Linked DNA regions of Caenorhabditis elegans. The protein of the gene in region 1 interacts with the protein of each later gene in a pairwise test. Each region holds a gene or a part of one and is shown in the gene's direction. Other genes may lie near its edges.

The links.
Region 2: the proteins of zip-2 (region 1) and cebp-2 interact in binary tests that used the Caenorhabditis elegans proteins (3 or more experiments, as listed by UniProt).

Annotation. Positions count from the first base shown.
Region 1 is NC_003281.10:828,794-838,373, forward strand, and holds zip-2 (Transcription factor zip-2), read left to right. Parts: upstream 1-5,294; 5' UTR 5,295-5,381; intron 5,382-5,511; 5' UTR 5,512-5,666; coding exon 5,667-5,675; intron 5,676-5,727; coding exon 5,728-6,043; intron 6,044-6,099; coding exon 6,100-6,420; intron 6,421-6,534; coding exon 6,535-6,815; 3' UTR 6,816-7,018; downstream 7,019-9,580. Other genes in the region: ceeh-1 (Epoxide hydrolase 1), read right to left, coding at 25-96, 752-998, 1,041-1,322, 2,934-3,058, 3,104-3,478; dos-3 (Delta and OSM-11-like), read right to left, coding at 7,022-7,433, 7,976-8,430, 8,477-8,578, 8,626-8,710, 8,754-8,825, 8,872-9,018. UniProt on the Caenorhabditis elegans protein: Transcription factor that binds to the promoter and the enhancer regions of target genes. May act together with the bZIP transcription factor, cebp-2. Involved in responding to mitochondrial damage.
Region 2 is NC_003279.8:6,247,775-6,256,087, forward strand, and holds cebp-2 (CCAAT/enhancer-binding protein homolog 2), read left to right. Parts: upstream 1-5,307; 5' UTR 5,308-5,309; coding exon 5,310-5,407; intron 5,408-5,452; coding exon 5,453-5,540; intron 5,541-5,587; coding exon 5,588-5,704; 3' UTR 5,705-5,810; downstream 5,811-8,313. Other genes in the region: C48E7.6 (Chondroitin sulfate proteoglycan 4), read left to right, coding at 1-7, 326-484, 540-1,142, 1,524-1,670; spp-15 (Saposin B-type domain-containing protein), read right to left, coding at 1,836-2,024, 2,101-2,268; cof-2 (Olfactomedin-like domain-containing protein), read left to right, coding at 2,797-2,873, 2,933-3,329, 3,486-3,578, 3,621-3,744, 3,789-3,886, 4,145-4,242, 4,299-4,458, 4,501-4,605 and 2 more; lpd-2 (LiPid Depleted), read left to right, coding at 5,927-6,052, 6,100-6,237, 6,283-6,532, 6,577-6,892, 6,940-7,066; let-611 (DNA-directed RNA polymerase III subunit RPC3), read left to right, coding at 7,268-7,330, 7,376-7,468, 7,531-7,652, 7,701-7,984. UniProt on the Caenorhabditis elegans protein: Transcription factor that binds to the promoter and the enhancer regions of target genes. Regulates expression of genes involved in fat metabolism, including ech-1.1 and fat-5.

The DNA of each region.
Region 1 (9,580 bases):
TGAAATCCTTACAGAACTTCTCACGTTCAAACTATCCACGGCTGCTTCAATGTCCAATGCTCCGTCCGCAGTTCCCCAGATGATAAGTGTGGGCATCTGAAATTTGGAATGAAGGTCAGTTGAAGTTTCTTTCATTATATACAGCGTGCCAACCAGTGCTGTGCGGCTCTTGAAAAAAGTCGGCTCTCGGCTTGCGCCGAGAGCCAAGTCGAAATTTTTTTTCGGCTCTCGGCTCGCGCCGAGAGCCGAGAGCCGCACAGCACTGGTGTCAACCTTCATAGACTTTCTTCAGCCTTGATTGAGGGTCTCAAGCAAGGGTGTGCGGCAAATTTGCCAAATATGAGAAGGACGGCAAATTTCAAAAAAGTGTATTTGCCGAATTTGCCGAACTGGGCAAATTTTGAAATTTGCCGCACACACCACAAACTGGATTTTAAAAATTTAACTGAAACTATTGATTTTGTTCAACACGCCTCTGGTATCATGAGCATTTTCATCAAAGAAACATACTTTATCTTGTTCACCGTCTCAGAAAACTCATATCTGTGAATTTTTATCTCTATAAAAAGTCTATAAATTCAAAATTCCAATTCAAGACGTCTCGTTTTTTCCAGATTCTTTGCTACAGTTACTGTTATTTTGAATGAATGGCGGTTATAGAATTTTTTGTGTTGAACAGAATGAAATGCGTTGCTTCTAGTAAAAATGGCCTAAATTTAAAAAAATTGGGCGACCATATAACAAACCGTACCTCCAACACTAAATCAGCCTGTTGCTTCTTTGCATTAAAAATATTTCGATAGTAGTTAATAGGATATTTGAATGAGGCTCCATTCATTGAAAATGAATACTTCCATGCTTCCAAATCCTCATCCGTGAAGTTCTTGTTGTTTTGTATTCCAATTTCTTTGGCTCTAAAGCAGAGCTCCAACATTTTCATATCATCAGCCGAACACAGCATTTCTGGTATTTTCTCGTTTTGGTAGAAGAACATGTACCTAAAGTTGTAAATGATATGTTGCACTCATCAGAATACTCACCAGCTTTTTCTGAACTGTGACCAGCTGGTATAAATTCGTTTTCTAAAAGACCCGGGTCTTGGAATGTTGCAACAAATCAACTTATCCACCATCTCTGGATACTGTTCCGCGAATTGCCACGCAACAAGACCTCCCCAGTCATGAGCAACTACAATAGCTTTGTCATAACCAAGACCTTCAATGACATCTCGAATATCTCCAGTTAGCTCATCAATTGAATAATTATCCACGTGTTTTGGCTTATCGGAAAGATTGTAGCCACGTTGATCGATTGCCACACATCTGGAATTTAACGTTATAAATCTTACACGCATCGATAGTTTTGGTAACATAGCTAGACAGTTTTTATAAATTCCAACAAAAATTGTTTTCAAAAATCGCAAGTATTTAAAAAAGTTTCATATTTTCAAAATGTTCACAAAAATTTTTACACAATTTTCAAAATGATGCAATTTGGCAAGGTTTGAAGGTTTTCATTAATTGTTCAGCTCAAAACGTAGTAAATTTCTTTTGTTGCAAACATCAGTAGATGAAATAACAATAACCTTGTTACCGTGCCGTGGGGACCTTTTGTGGTAAGTCCAAGCATTTAAACGCAGCGACTGATTCTTAATAATTTTATTTTAAATTCCGTCTTTTTTACGTTTCGATTTTTAATTAATAATCTTGATAACCAACACCTCCCCTCGTTGAAATGGATACTTTTTCAGATTGATCTCGCATCGTTGAACATCGAAATTTATCCATGATAGTAAATTTAATCTGGTGTCAAACCTCAAAGAGCGTTTGACGGCGTTGAGCGATTATGACTCGTGTTCTACTCCGTGCTCCGTGCTCCGTGCTCCGTGCTCCGTGCTCCGTGCCCCGAGAAAATTAGTAGAGTTAGTGAATCTGACAAAGTTGAATGTCCAAGTGAGGTGGTTTTCCGGAGTCCAACAATGACAAATGATAGTAAGATTTGTGAAGAGAGTGGTGTTGAAGAGAAGATTAGACAAGTTAGGAAAGTTTGAAGATGTAGATAGTGCCTCAAGTTTTGAGTCATAATCGAAAAAAAACGCCCTTGGAGGTTTGACACCAGAAGAAGTGCATCTGGAACGTCGAAAACTGTCATGGATGAAGATCGATGTTCAACGATGCGAGATCAAAATGAAGCTAACAAGTACCAATTTCAACAAGGGGAAAATATGCAACATATTCTTGATTTAACTACATTAATAAACCTATAATCGAATATTGCTCAGTCGTCTACTCTCCCTCTCCTAACTCTAAACTCTCTGCTCATCTTGAAAAGCCTCTTAGATCATTCTCTCGACAAGTATTACAAAGATGCAATATCTCATTTACTTCTTATGAAAACCGTCTTCTAATTCTTAATATCTACTCGATTCGTCATCGAAGGCTTAAGGCAAAGCTTCTACTTCTTTATAAATTCATAAGCGGTACCTCTTACTTCCCAAATCTAAACGATCTGATCAGAATTACAGAGTCTAAAAGAAGGCCTATGATTATTATTTGTACAAAACCAAAAATTACTGATTTTTTCACCTCAACCGTCCCCGTCTGGAATGCTATTTTTCATAATACTCCCCATTTCCTTTCTCCCCGTGAATTTGTTAAAGTTATTGATTCCTCCATAACACGGTTCTGAATAATTTTGTTTGACGGTTATAATTAATTCTATGATCTCTAATTTCCCTAAAAGTCTTTTTTTTCCCTTTCTTCTCTCAATGCCGGTCTATTTTTTTCCTCTCTTTGCCGGACTCGTGAGGGTCCCGACTTTTTTATTGTTTTGATTAACTTTGATTAAACAATAAATTCACTTGTGGGTCATCCTCAACCGTGATTCCACTAGACTCGAAGTCTTTCTCAACAGTAATTTTTTTTTTAAAGCACCTGTATTTATCTGCAAATTCTTTCAACTGAAATCTCCAAGAATACCAAAACTCGGGGTATCCATGAATAAATAGCATTAATGGTTTGTCATCGGATCCAGTTTGGACATAATGAAGCCGCACTTTCTGCAATTTTTCATAGTGCAAAATTTAAAAAAAACTATTTTTTACCTTTAACTTGATGTACCTGCTGTCCCATCCTTCCAAAACGTTTGGCTTCTCCCGCTGCTTTTTCTCAAACAATGATCTTCCTTTAACCGCAAATCCCAGGAATAGAATTGCCGAGAATTTGACAAAATAATAAAATTGTAAGAGGCGGACGAGTATTCTATAGAGAAACATTGTCAAGTAATAAGAAAACGAACCGAACGCAAGGTCGTGACGGGAGAGAGGAAGACTACAATTTATCGGCCGACACAGACACAAAAAGTAAAGAAGATAACCAATAATTTTGTAATTGGGACAATTACATGTAGTGTGGCACACAAACTTCTTGTATTTAGAAAATTTGTTCAAACATTGTATGTATATACTTTCAAACAACATTTGGTCAGTTTTTAGAATGCGATCATTTATTTTCTAGTGTCATTTCACATCCTATACTTAAATATTTTGTGTAAGCGTGTTGGCTTGCAAAACAAGGAAAAACAACAAATATTTAAATCCTTTTGTGGATTTCGAGCTGGTGGTTTTAATATGCACCCACATTTTACAGCGCCTTCTTTGTTATTCTTTCATGTCTACATTATCCCAACTCCGGAGTTAGCTCAAAATTTCCTTTGATCTCCTGAACTTTGAAGCTGAAGCCACAGACACATTCTATTTTTGGTTTTCATTTTCATATTTTGCTCTGACTACAAATTTACGTCTTTGTTTTTCTGGTTTTTCCGGTTGCTTGGCAACAATTGCAATCGCTTATTTGTGTTCAATAACATAAAGTCATACAAACGGAAATCGAAGAAAAATTAATGAAGAAATGTAAAATTGAATATTTATTTTTTATAATTGAATCAACCAGGAGCTTTGTCGAATGTTGATTAATTTTGGCAAGCAGCCTTTTGGATAAATGATTCATTAACTTTAAAATATAAACGAAAAAAACTGTTCCTACGTTGAGAGTACTCCGCTTTGAAAATTATGAAACTACAGTAGTTTGTGACTAGGTACATCTTGTGACATACTGTTGCACAACATTGCATCAAGAGTGGACTATATAAACTGAACTCATTTGAAGAAAATCTTTCACATTTTGTATTCTCAGTCTTCAAATGGATCATATGATTTTCTAACAAGTCGCCCTTTCGACGTCCTGTCAATGCAATGTGTGATCAAAAAGGTTAGTCAGAAATACATTTTATTGAACAGGGTAAACATTGGAAAAAAGCGAAGATTACTCAGAAAACTCCGCTTATCAATCTTCAATTCTTATCAAATGACGTTATGAAGAATTGAAGCAAAAGTCCAATGTGCGATTGTTTAAATGGAATGTATATGTTCTATGAAGTTGTTATTATACCTATGTGTTAAATTCAAATATCGAAAATAAGCAAATGTTAATAAATTTGCTCATAGAACGCACAAGTAATGAGTTCACACCATATCTTGTCTGTATATAAAAATTCACAATGTATTTGAATAAATTATGTCGTACTTGATAAGTAGTGACGTCGGTTGTGATATAAATGCTTGATTAATTTTTGTTTGAATCACAATAATAGTTATTTTTCATACATTTCTCTGGGACGGTACGGGAACAATTTTTTACATGTACTTCAGGTATTTTTGAGAAGCTAACAATTTTCCATATCTAATTGGAAATCAATCATCATCAATTGTGACCTCCTGCAATCCAGTTTTTGTTCAATTAGAGATGCTTCATGAATTTTGTCAATGTGAATCAGAATACTTTCATACTATTTATACTTTTGTACCGATGATCACCATCTGAGTAACCCAACGATGGGTCAGAATGTGTGTTTCAGTTCCTTGATCTTTTGGTTGTGGTCTGAATCAACACATATTCCTCTCCACACTTCGTTCACATTGTTGGTCGGCTGTGTCGGTCGGCGCACGCTCACTGTCCTATTCAAACACACTCTGCCATCCCTAATCCTCTTGCGACACACAGTGTCTTGTCGACCCCCGTCGTCTGTCTCCGACTGGGTGACATCATGTGAAATCTTGCCAAATGTTGTGCAATAGTGGGTGGAGCGTCCGCTCTAACGTGGTTTTTGGGTTTTCTCTGCCTCATTCTTTCGTTTTGACAAATTGTCCATTGGTGACTTTTTGTTTTTTTTTTCTATTTTGCTTACGGGAATCGATTGTTTTGACATGCTTTTGCCTAAACGGTGGTATTTTTCAGCAAGGGACCAGTTTCAAGGTCCCACGACCGCCACCGTCCGCGGAGCAATCAAAACGTCCATCAGTTCGCTTTCATCGCCTTCTCCAGGTTTGTCATATACAAATAATAATTACCTTTTTAAATCATTATCTTATGACGATGACGTGGCGATCACCAATATAAAAAATCAATACAATTCAAATTAAAACGAATAAAATCGATAATTAATATATTTCAGAAAAGTTTTCCCCACCTAGCTAGAAGCTAGCTCGTTTGTCACTAGATTTCGACGGCCTTCCCGAAGATTTCTTTTCTCCACAATGTATCACGCAAAGACAACCACCGATTTTAACATGTTCAGTCAACAGTGTTGCTTCATGGACGAGGCCAAGTATGGAGCCGGTTAGTTTTTCATAATTGGACGAATATTTTATTTTTACAAATAATTGTTCAGCTATCGGCTCCACTAGCCGTCGGGTTTTCGGCTTGGCCTCCGTCGCCGCCACTTCCGCCGTTGGCCCACTCACCGCTCCAGGATGCAGTCCACGCCGACCACAACCATCGTCGGATCCTCAACTCTTGCAGAAACCTGCCGGATTGCCTGACGACTACAGTTCCTCAGCTTCACCAGATCAATTCTGCCGAGCAATCTCCACTACAGTTCACGCATCAACCAAATTGCGATTTAATTGTGGTTCTCGACGAGCAAACGACCTACACGACTACAATGACACGACGTTCCCTACCGAAAGCGGACCGTTATTTGAGCGGTTAGTTGGCGAATTTGAGCGAATTTGAATCATAATTTGAATAATAAAATTTTCAGAGCCCAACATGAGCACGCCACAAGCTTCCCACGGGAGCTTTGAATTTGATGTACCAGAGTACACATCCTTCGACTATGCATTCGATTTCCCACCGGTTCCAGAAGCCTTCCCACCAGCCGCCAATAGTTCCTCGGCTGCATCTCCAGATGCAGATTTTCTTGATCTGGATTCTCTCATGAGCTGTGATATCACATCTCTTGACGCCTACATTCATGATGATTCCATTGCCTCTCCTTCTAACGCTTCACACATTTCTCCTCCAGCGTCGGACATTGATCCAGTTGACGAGTTCTTTCCACAGCTTGTGCACAATAATAAAAGTAAGCTTAAGACAGTATCACACTAATTAGGAAAATCCACGTCATCGTCTGAACCCATTTATATATTCTTTAACTCAGCTCTTTGTTCAATTTAAACATTAAAAACCATTTCAGTTCAATCATCTTCCTCCTCAACAGTTGAAACGACAATAACACGTGGGCGCAAAACTTCATCGGTATCGTCCGATTCGTCATCGGACTACCGTCATAAACGGGATAAGAACAATCTAGCATCCCAAAAATCTCGTCAAAAGCGCCAAGCCAAAATTCGCGAATCAAAGGAGGAAAGAGAGCGTCTAGAGAAGCGAAAAGTTCAACTTCAAGCAATGGTTTTAACCTTGGAGACTCAAGTCGAGGACTACAAGCGATTGGTCATGATGTTTGTAAAGCGATAAATATATTAATCAGATCGCGTTTTTTTCTCATTTTATTGTGTGTGTACATAAATTCAAATTTAATTTTATTTTGTTCTCGTTTTTTTCCTCATTACTTATCCCTTATCCCTTATTCACCAACCTCATTTTATCTCATCTCATCTCAATAGCAAATAGTATTTATATTCCTTTTCATTAATCAAAATAAAGTAGAAAAATAGAAATAATTAATCATAATCATCAGGAATATTAAGGAAAGTTCCAATAGAGGGAAAGTGAATAGCACTAAACCCATCAGTACCTCCAACTCCAGCAGCTGGCACGGCCCAATGTGCACCATAAGCGATTTGGCCCTGGAGCCAATCCACGTTCACGGATTCCGGGTGATAATAGTATTTGTTAGCATGATCGCGATTATGTGGGTCATCTGGATTCGGCTCCCAGAGCCCTGGTTTAGTGAATGGTGATCTACTACGAGGGCGATGCAGGATTCCTCGAGAGTCGGTTAAAGAGTTGTATTGATCTAATGCATTGGAGAACACACTGTCCGAAAATACTGGAACTGCTGCACCACCTGTAGTTTTTTTCACGCGTGGAAGATTGGGAGCTGATTGATCGGCATCTTTTAGAACTTGATCTCTGAAAGAAGATTTGCGACTTGGTTAGAAATAAATATAACATTTTCATTATTTCTTAAAGCAATTTATAGAGTCTAACCTGTGAGTTTAAGAACCTAATCATATGAGTTTGTCTAAGAGACAAGGTCGCAATTAAAGTTCTAAACTCCAGGGCCTGCAACTAAAATTCAAAACCTAAAAACGTAAAACCTAGGACTTGAACCTAAAAATCGGAACGTCAGAATCGGCGGTTAAACTTAATTAACTAAATATTAGGATTTTATGTTTAAATCCTAACTATTAGATGCATACCTTTAAGTTAAGATTCCATCACTCGAATTTTTATGTGTAAGTCGTTATTAGGCTTTTAAGCGCAGGTCTGAAGACGTTTGTTCTTAATTTTCAAATCTTAAATTCGGAACTCTTCCTGATTTTTTGACCCTTCGACTAAGGCTTACATAATCTAAATCTTATGCTTTTAATTTAACACCTTCTATAACACATTCCCTCTAAAAAGTTAGCAAAACAATTTTGTTATTTAACTCGAAAATAGAAATAATTCACCTTGAATTAGTTTGCTTTGGAAGTGGTGGCGCCGCAATTAGATGAACTGTTGTTCCATTCTTCAAAGTTATTACTTTATCAACGTTTTTTGTTGTAGTTTGGTTCAATTCCATTTCAAAATCGACAGTGTCATTCTTATTGTCTTCTAAAAATAAACTAGTATCATTTGGCCAAAAAACCATGTCAGAATCTCTCTTGAATCTTCGAGCAGATGCCGGTTTATACGGTAAAGTTTCACCAGAAGGAGCCAACAGTTGGAATGTTGTGGACGTCTTTGGTCCTTCCAAAACTTTTCCTTTTTCTGCTTTCGAATAGATAAACTGAGATGCATAATGGTATCTCTCGTATTTCGGGCATCCATAATACCAAAGTCTGCATGTGTTTAGAAATAGAGGCAATGGAGGTGGGTTGCAGAACTTTTGAACCGCTGGGTAATCGTAGTCACATTTGCATTCCTAGATTAGTTTGAATTCGAATTAATTTTAAAAAAGATCAACAAACCTTTGTACAATGTGGAAATATTCGTTCATCACAATCTGCGGAACACGGTCTTCTTTTCAGCAATTTAGCACGTCTGCTTGCTGCTGATGATTTTCTAATGGACTTCAATTTTTTTTAAATACACCTAATTTCATATTAACAGCTTTTACCGGATGGTCTAAATCTGGGAAATCTGATGTTCCACTTGCTGATTGTATTTGGCCCTTAGAAGCGGAGAATGGGTTAGCTGGCACTCTGCAATGGAAGTTTGCTTAAAAACTCGCGTGTGTCAACTCACCGCTCTTGCACACATGCTTTTTTATACGAAGGGCAGAATTTCGTGAAGATTTCCGCATTTTCAATATTGCCTCTGGCAAAAAAAAATGATTCGTAAGGTTTTTCGTTCAACAACTTACTTGCAATAATATTCATAGTTAACGCTGAACTTCTCACAGTATTCCTTCTTTGACCCTTTATACAAATACGTTTTATCTTCCCCTGTTGATGATCTACTCTCCTCATTACCACCTTCATTTCCCAAAAACGAGCCGGATTGCTTTAGTCTGTAACAGCAACAGACTGGAATTAATTCAAGCAGCAGGAATCTGTTGAAAGACAGCATCTGCAGTCAAACTATAAAATTCAATTTGAATAATAAAAGTACGGACCCTTGGTCAAATTTGAAAATTGCTCTGCTTTCTGGCACTAACAAGGAGTGACTAAACATACTTTTTCAAATTCAAACTTGCATTTTAATAATGTTGTTTGTTTACAATAAGCGTATAAAAATGTTCATAAACTAGTTTTGACTTTCTCGCGATGCTAGCACGCTTTGGTTGTGAACAAGGGACAGAATGGAGAGCTTCTTGTAAAAGAGAACTATCATACTTCCGAAAATGCCTAACAATGCACAACTGTAAGCAAATATTTTTCAGGTGTTAAAACAAAACTAGCGGGGCTTTATAAACTGAACAGGTTTTAATCATTCCTTCCCAATAGAAAATTAGACAACTACAGAAACCATGCAATCTTGTTTTGAGATACATCCAGAGTAAGAAAAAACCGAAGGTATACGAAAGTATCAAAAATAGACGACTCAACTCTTTATATACAAACAAATAACAA
Region 2 (8,313 bases), on another chromosome or scaffold:
ATTTCATGTAAGCCTTATATTATTATTTTAATTGTTATCTAGTTTTCGATAGTTAATTGGTAATGGGAATTCTTACTCGAAATGTTTAGAATATTAAGAAGAAAACATCGAGAAAGTTTTAAAAGTCCAACTTCCACAACGCCATTTTCCTACTCTAGCTAATATCCTTGTTTCAATTTTTATAAAGTTAGAACTGTAAGACTAATCAGCGTTTTTTCAAGTTCATTTTTGAACCAGAAAACAGAAGAAAACGTCGCTAATCTCTGATTGGTCTTTTTGTTGGTTTATTGAACATTAGATGTTTGTTGAGGCAAATTTTTTTCAGGACAAGTTTGATTTTGTTGTTGAAAACGATTCTCGAGATGTGCTCAGAAATAGTTCAGAGCTGAGAGTTCGAGCACTTGTTTCCGTGCAACCAGTGATTGTAGAAGCAGATACAGCAACTCCACTGACAACTTCACAGATAAATGCATCAACATTACTAGTAAGAATAAACTTTAAATAATTCTTTCATAGAGTAGTGTATAATTATTTTTCAGAATTCATCACCTCGGTTCTTTCTTACTTCCCCGCTCAAATTTGGACGCTTGACGTTTGATCCGAATACCAATTATTCCACATACTATTTTACGAATACTGATATTCAAAAAGGAATCGTATATTATAAGGCATTTAGCACAGAGGAAGAAGTTCACGAGATTGTACAATTAGAAGTACGAGCCGATAATGTTCAACCAGCACGATTTACTCTTCCAATCACCATACTTCGTGCTGATATGGAAAACTATGATCCTTCGACAACTGGAGATCAAATGATTCCATATTCAAATGGTGGATCTGACTCAACGAAATTCTCAATATTTGGAGAAAACAATCTTCCGGTAGTTATACTTGGAGCCATTGTTGCCGCAACAATATTCGTTTTGATATGTAGAAGATGCGGAGAAGGAAAGAAGAAAAATAAAACAAGGACTCCGATTAATGCAAAATTGGATACACCAACCAGGCTTCCACCATCACCATCAGAGAGTATTGATCATGAAAAACCACCCGACTTGTTGGGTACAACTGTATTTGCATCAGTGAGACAAGCCGAGGATAGGATGACAATGAAGTCATTTAATAAACCACCTAAACCAGAGGTAGGGATTTATATATTTTTTCATGTTATATTTAAAATTATTAATTAACAATAACAGTCAGTGCTTATCTCCTAACAGCCCACAGAAATAGATAAACTAGAAAGCCTCTAATTGGTCGGAAACTAAGCAGAGCTGATTGCTGATCGGTCTTGGAGTTCTCATTTTGGAGACACAGACAGGGAGATCGTCCAGATTATTTTGATATTTAATTTTTTACTAACAAAATCTTCCTTGTGGTATTTCAAAATTACAGACTGTTCCCAGTAGTTTATAGACAAACTATATCTACCTGTAATTCATGAAAGTTTTCGAGTCATCTAATCTTCTGGAAAATTAAAAACTTTCAAACCGAATCCGCACGGTTAATCAATAACTTTCCAGTCATCTTCATCACGAAAACCTCCAAATCCTCGTCGTCAAAATGTATCTTCTCTGGATTACGCAGGAATAACATCTGATACTCCACCTCCAATGCGATTATTTGAGCAAGTTGCTCAAACACAACCGACAAATCATTATTGGGTATAACAAGAAATCACTTCAATTTCCCGAAACTATTAATTTCCAATCAACCTACAGTGCCTTTCCGTTTCTCAAAATCATTCTCTACGTCTCTGTGATCTCATTGAATTCATTTTTAGTTATAAATGCAAATTTATTATTTCAAAAATATTTATTTAAAAAAATTACGAGTTACTTCTGAGTTTCCAAGAAATAATATTGTTTTGGAGTGCGACAAAGAAGAATATCAGTGCAAATCTTATCGGCTTCTTCGTGATCCTTCAGTTTATTGATAATGTATTCCAAATTCTTCTCGATCACCTTTTCACACATATCAACCATAAATGATGGAACATCTTCTTTGCAAAATTTGTCAACTGCCTGAAAATAAGCTTTAATTGGTTGATCAGAGGCATAATTGAAATAAAGAATTGTTAAAGGTATTTGAATCTCTTACCGCTTCAATATCACCTCCGTGTTCCAAAACCTGATCGAGCTGCTTTACAACATTAACACAAAGTCCGCAGAGTGGTTTTGACGTATCCGAATGCATTTTCTTGGCGCCTTCCACGTTTGAAACAGTCAAAGTTATTGCCAAAAAGGCAAGTAAAATAAGATAATTCATTGCAATGAAAACGTGTGGAAAGAATAAACTTCTGACTTAGAAAAACAATAAGAATGCGGAGAAAGTGTAAAAAGAGTGACCGCGATCAGGAACAGCTGTTTGTCAGCAGTTATAAGAGGAAAAGTGTAAAGTGTTTACAAGTTTGACTCAATTTATTCACTAACCAGAAACGTTTGGAGCTCTACAAACTACATACACTTCACACTCTGAACACATATTCAGATAGATATGATGAAAACGAATTTAGGTGTTAATGGCTCAATATGCTAAGTTTACAGTTTTGGAAAAACCTACAAATATTTGTAAAGAACACCGGTTCTTTGCTCTAACATCGCCTTCTGTCGCAACTGAAAATCAGCGAATATCAACAAAAAGTTTCGCACAAAATGTTTATTCCAATTATTTGCTGGAATCATATTTCATTTCAAATGTGCACATTATTTCACTATACCACCCAAATATATTACTTTTATTATCAAGCTTTTACTGATAGGAACCTATTGATTGAGCCTAGTTTCTTCAACTAAAATGGAAGAAAATTTACATTATTGCAACTTAGCAATCACATTAATTGCTGTTCTCGCGTTTTCTCATATTCATTACAGGCAAGTGATTCATCAAGAAGATATATTATAAAAAAACTGCAGAAAAAAATTAATTTCAGAATTTGGACATTGGAATCCGAATGTCAATCTCTCACTGAACTAAATTTTCGTTCCAAACGTGATATTCCCCTATCAAGAGGCAAAAATGCTTCAGACATCCTGTGGCTAACATCCTTGTCTTCTGTAAAAATTGGAGAGCTAATGCACAAATGTACTGAAATTCATGAATACTGTAGTGAACAAGACGACGTGCGCGGGAAACCGGGCCCTGTTGGACCTGTAGGCCCACCTGGAAAGAGTGGACCTGCTGGACCACAAGGACGAAGAGGGTTAATGGGAATCCCAGGGCACCCTGGACCTGTGGGACCACCTGGAAATATTGGAAAAGATGCGGATTGTTCTTCATGCCCGATTAGAGATGAGCTGTTGATGGAAAGGGAGTTCAAATGTCCTACTGTAAGTTTGAAAGGGGCTGGACCTACAACCTAGAAAGGTAGGTCGCAGATCGTGACTTCTAGCTGAAATATAAAGTTGTTCAAGATTCTGTGAGCTATGTAGATTGTCTAACAACCTAGCTTCTCTGGGCTTCTCAAAGAAGGAAAGAATTTACAGATTGAAAATCTGGAATGCCCGAACAGAGAAGCCATTCCAACAACTCCCTGGCCTTCAGTCACACATCAACCAATGCCTGGATTGGTTCAGCAGGTGACTTCAGTAATAACTTTCAGATCCAAAGCATATTTTCAGATCCTTTCCAACTACAGTGAAGTCGAGGGATGCGTGAAAATATGTTTGAAAAACTACACTCTCGATGAAGAAATTGAAGAGACCATTACGACTCCAGTTGCATATATTCAAGGAGTTACTGCCCGTAAGTATTATATTCAGTCTTAAAAGGAGTTGAAGAATGTTAAGATTGCCGACTTCAAAACGTTGGAAAACCTGTGTTCCATTCTCATTCTACAACATATTATGGAAGCTGGATGAGAGATGCATACCCTCCAACCGGCGATGTAAGTTTGGGAGCTTGAAAATGGAACTGAAAAATTTGCTCACACTTTATTCAACTCTTTCTGTATGTATGTTCGTGGTTCATTTTTCGGAGGCGTTTTCCGGTCGAGACGTTCGGGCATGAAAATGCTAAAAAACCGGGAAAAAGTAAAAAAAAGTTTGGAAAGCTGTCACAAACCGAAACTCACTGGTTCGCCGAGTACTGGTATACTGTACATTATGAGAAAGGCATATCTCAACATATGTATATCTTGTTTCAGGACGCTAGAAAACGATACGTAATGAACCATTTCCAAGGCCACGAGCTCATCGAATTTAGGAATGAAGCTGAAATGCGACGGGACCATGTCGGAAAAGTGTATGGTTTTCTTTCAAAATTTTTCAAATATTTGAGAACTTTTTATTCTTTTTCAGCCATCGCCTTCCATATATATTCGATGGAACAAATCATGTTATTTTCAATGCATCTCTTTTCTATCAAAGAGCAGGATATCCAATTATTGCAAAATACGAGTTCAACTCGAAACAGTACTCACAGTTTGAAATACCGGGAGCAGCTTATCGTGGGGATCAGGTGAGTTTTGAAATTGTTTTAAGTCAAAGTTTCCAATTTCAGTACCTTTATAATAATTCGATGAATTATTTTGACTTGGCAATCGATGAAAATGCACTTTGGGTCATGTTTCACTATCAGGAAGAAGCTTTCTTATCAGTAGCTAAAGTAATTTTAAGTTGTTCATTGAAATCTATCTACTAGGTACTATTCCAGGTGGATATAAATAATTTGACAATTTATGAGGCATTCAACCTCACGACAGTAAATCATACAGATGTTGCAAATGGAATCGTCGTTTGTGGAACAATTTATTTGGTTTAGAATTTTTTATTTGATATCAAGCTTGACCAATAGCAAAATCAAATCAACATTATTCCAGGTGGAAAGTGCATCAGAACAATCCACGTATATCTCTACGGCATACGATTTCTACAGAAACACATACTCCCAACCTTTGATTAAATGGATTAATTTGTACAAGAACGCCAATATGATTAGCTATAATGCTTATGATAAGAGAATTTACATCTACGATCATGGTTATATGCTCTCTGTACCTCCACTTTTGCATTGGCTGGCTAAATAATTTGTGTAGTACATAGTTCATTTACTATATTTTAAAATAAATTCAGTTTTATTCGAGAAATATAAAGTAATTAATTTATCGTGAATATCGTGAAAGTAGCTCTTTCCTATATATTTTTTCAGGAGTTTTAGTTCCCCTTTCTCGAATTTCTGTGGTGTCTCACGCAACGACGCTCCGTTTTACACACTCGCGCGTACTTTATCGTAATTCCACAAAACCTTTTTTCCATCATTTTTCTATTAATTCCATAGTTTTCCTCGATTTTTTGTTGCAATTTCAAGCGATGAGTGGAAATCGGAAGCGAAACACATCAGAGCCTCGTGAGGACGATGAAGATGACTATTCCACTAAACGAAAACGGAATAACGAAGCTGTGAACAGGTAAAATTTCATTTTTAGCCGCTAAAATCTAATTAAAAATTCCAGAACCCGACAAAAAAAACGCCAGGAAGAAAATGACACTGCAGAAAAAGTAGACGAATTAAAAAAGGAGAACGAAACACTAGAAAGAAAGGTACTTGTTTACTTGATTTTTTAATTTTAATTAATTCCCTCTATCAGGTCGAGCAGCTACAGAAAGAGTTATCATTTCTTAAAGAAATGTTTATGGCATATGCGAAAAACGACGGAAATGATGGACCACCACCACCGCCACCACCATCTTCTTCCGCCGTGTAGATAACAATTTAATCAAAGATTTATCCACCATTTCTGTAAATTTTATACAAATAACTCAATTCACGCATTCCAATAACCAAAGAAAAATAAATTTAGAAAACGCTTTACTTTCTTTTTTAAACTGTTTTTTTTTGTGTGGTACGTTTCCAACAATTTATCTTGAATGATCTTATTAATTAACTTTTTGAATTTGTGTTGTATCAAAAAAAACGTTTCTTTCAGATGACCGAAACGGAGCAAGAAGCGTTTGCTGATTTAGTGGCAGAACTGGAAACTCAAACTGCAGAAGCAGTAAAAGCTTTCAGTAAAGTTTTCGATCGGATGGAGGAAACGAACGATGACAAAGAAGTGAAATGAAAACCTCAAGATTTATTCAAAAACTTTTTTATTTACAGGGGCTTAGTCTTCTGAAGCTGAAAAACTATGAAATGACAGCGTACCTTGGAGAGTTGACTGTCCTTATGTCGAAAATGATGAAAGGAGAGTCAATTACAGTAGAACCATCTGTTAAAAGAGCTTTAAAGCATAGAGTGGTATGTATTTTAGTATTCCAACTGTTCCTAAAAAACTAGTTTCAGTTCATTGAAAAAATGAAACCAGTCGAGGATAAGATGAAACCTCAAATTGAAAAGCTACTAGGCCGGTCAAGCGCCGAGAGTGGAGCATCAAATGGTTCTTCCAAGGGAAATCACAGAGTTCGATTAGACAATATGGACGTTGAAGGAGATGAAGAAGAAGAGGAGGAAGATGAAGATGATGAGGAAGGAAAAGGAGCAAAGGAAGTTAAGAAATATGTGGCACCAAGAATTAGAGCAGTTCGATATGAAGGTATGTTCAAAAATTAGTTTTCCGTAAAGTTATGTTCATTTTAGAAGAAGACGAAGCTCCGAACAAGCAACAAGAAAAGGCAAAACGTCGTGCAATGCAAAGTAGTCTTATTATGGAACTCAAAAATCAATACAGTGATGCTCCGGAAGAAATTCGAGAGATGAGTGAGAAGAAATATCAATATGATCGTGAGAGAGAACGTTATGAGGAGGATAACTTCACCAGAATTCGATTGAATAAGGATCAGAAACGACGAAGCGAACAACTAGGACGTTCGGAAACTCTTGATGATTTGCTCAGTTTTGGAGATTATATGATGAGAGGAGAAGATGGTAGAGCACTTTCCGAAGGAAATAAAAGGTAATCTTTAACTTTTAAAATTGTCCAACATATGATCCATTATTCAGAAAGCGTGCTACATCTTCTGGTGCTGGCGGGGACACAAAACGACACAAAAAATCCCAAAAGGAACGAAAGAAAGCGGCAAAAGGAAAGAAGGAAGGACGAAAAAGGGCTATTCGCAGAAGACAATAATGTTTTTTGTTGCATTTTTATTTGCCAGTTGTTGAATTTTTTGTTAACTTTTTATTTGTTTTGTTTTACTTGTTTTTATTGTATTAGAAACAACACTTAAAAAAAATATTTTCAAAAAACAATTTCCAGAGCGGTTGCAAAGCCAAATATCTGTAAAACTTCCAAGGAAAGCTTTTTTACTAAAAGACCTTCAGATCAAAAATGGGTGGTGGAAAGTATGAGACTCAAATGTGTGTAATTATCATCGAAGATATTTTCGGAAAGGTAAGAATTTAAAAACTTTCTTTTTAAACTTTTTTTGAATTACAGATTGTGGCGAAAGTAATGGAGACGATTCTGAAAGAAAGCTGCCAGTTGTCTACTCTTTTTTATAAACTGAAAGGACAAATTTCAAATACTCTAGTTAGTTATATTGATTTGGAGGATATTGAGTTCACTTGCAGAAAAAATAGATAAATTTTCAGATCAGAAAATCGGTTTCCACATTGATCAACTTTGGTTTTGTTACTTTCCACTTGGACACGAACAATCGAACCACATATGTTGCAGATTCCGACCAAATTCAACATGTCATTTCCTCGCCGAGGTAAAAAGTTGTAAATATATTTTATAGAGCCAAATATATAATTTTCAGAGCTTGCCTCATTGCTAAAACGCTCTACGGACCTGCTGCAGAGTCTATCTGCGTCGAACTTATTTCTCAAGGGCGGCTTACCGTATCCGAGACAATTCGTCGAATTCAAGCGACAGATGAGACGGCCGTGTTCAGTGACATCAAGAAATCTTTCGAAGAACTCGCAGCTGCACATTTTCTCATTCGAGTTCCGTCTGTAGAATCAGAAATTCATGGTTGTCCTCAATTTGTGACCAATTTTGATCCATTTGCAATATCTACTAATATCATGGAAAAGAAAGAAGGTAATGAGAATAAAATAGTATAAAGCAATCTTTAAATTTAGAATGCGGTCTGTATTGTATTGTATTGTATTTATTACGATTGAAATCGTGATCAAAAATAAATAGTGAATAGACATGTAGGAAAATGATTAAATTTATTTCTATCATGCATGATACTTAAATTACTAAATATTGAAATCTAAATTTTTTAAAAATTTGTTTTAATTCGTGTTAAAAAGTGGTTCAAATGAGTTCGCTCTTAGAGAAATCTGAAGCACTATGAAATATAAATATTTCAAACATAATAAAACTGAAAAAAAACATTTGCTTGACAGCATCCAAACAAATTG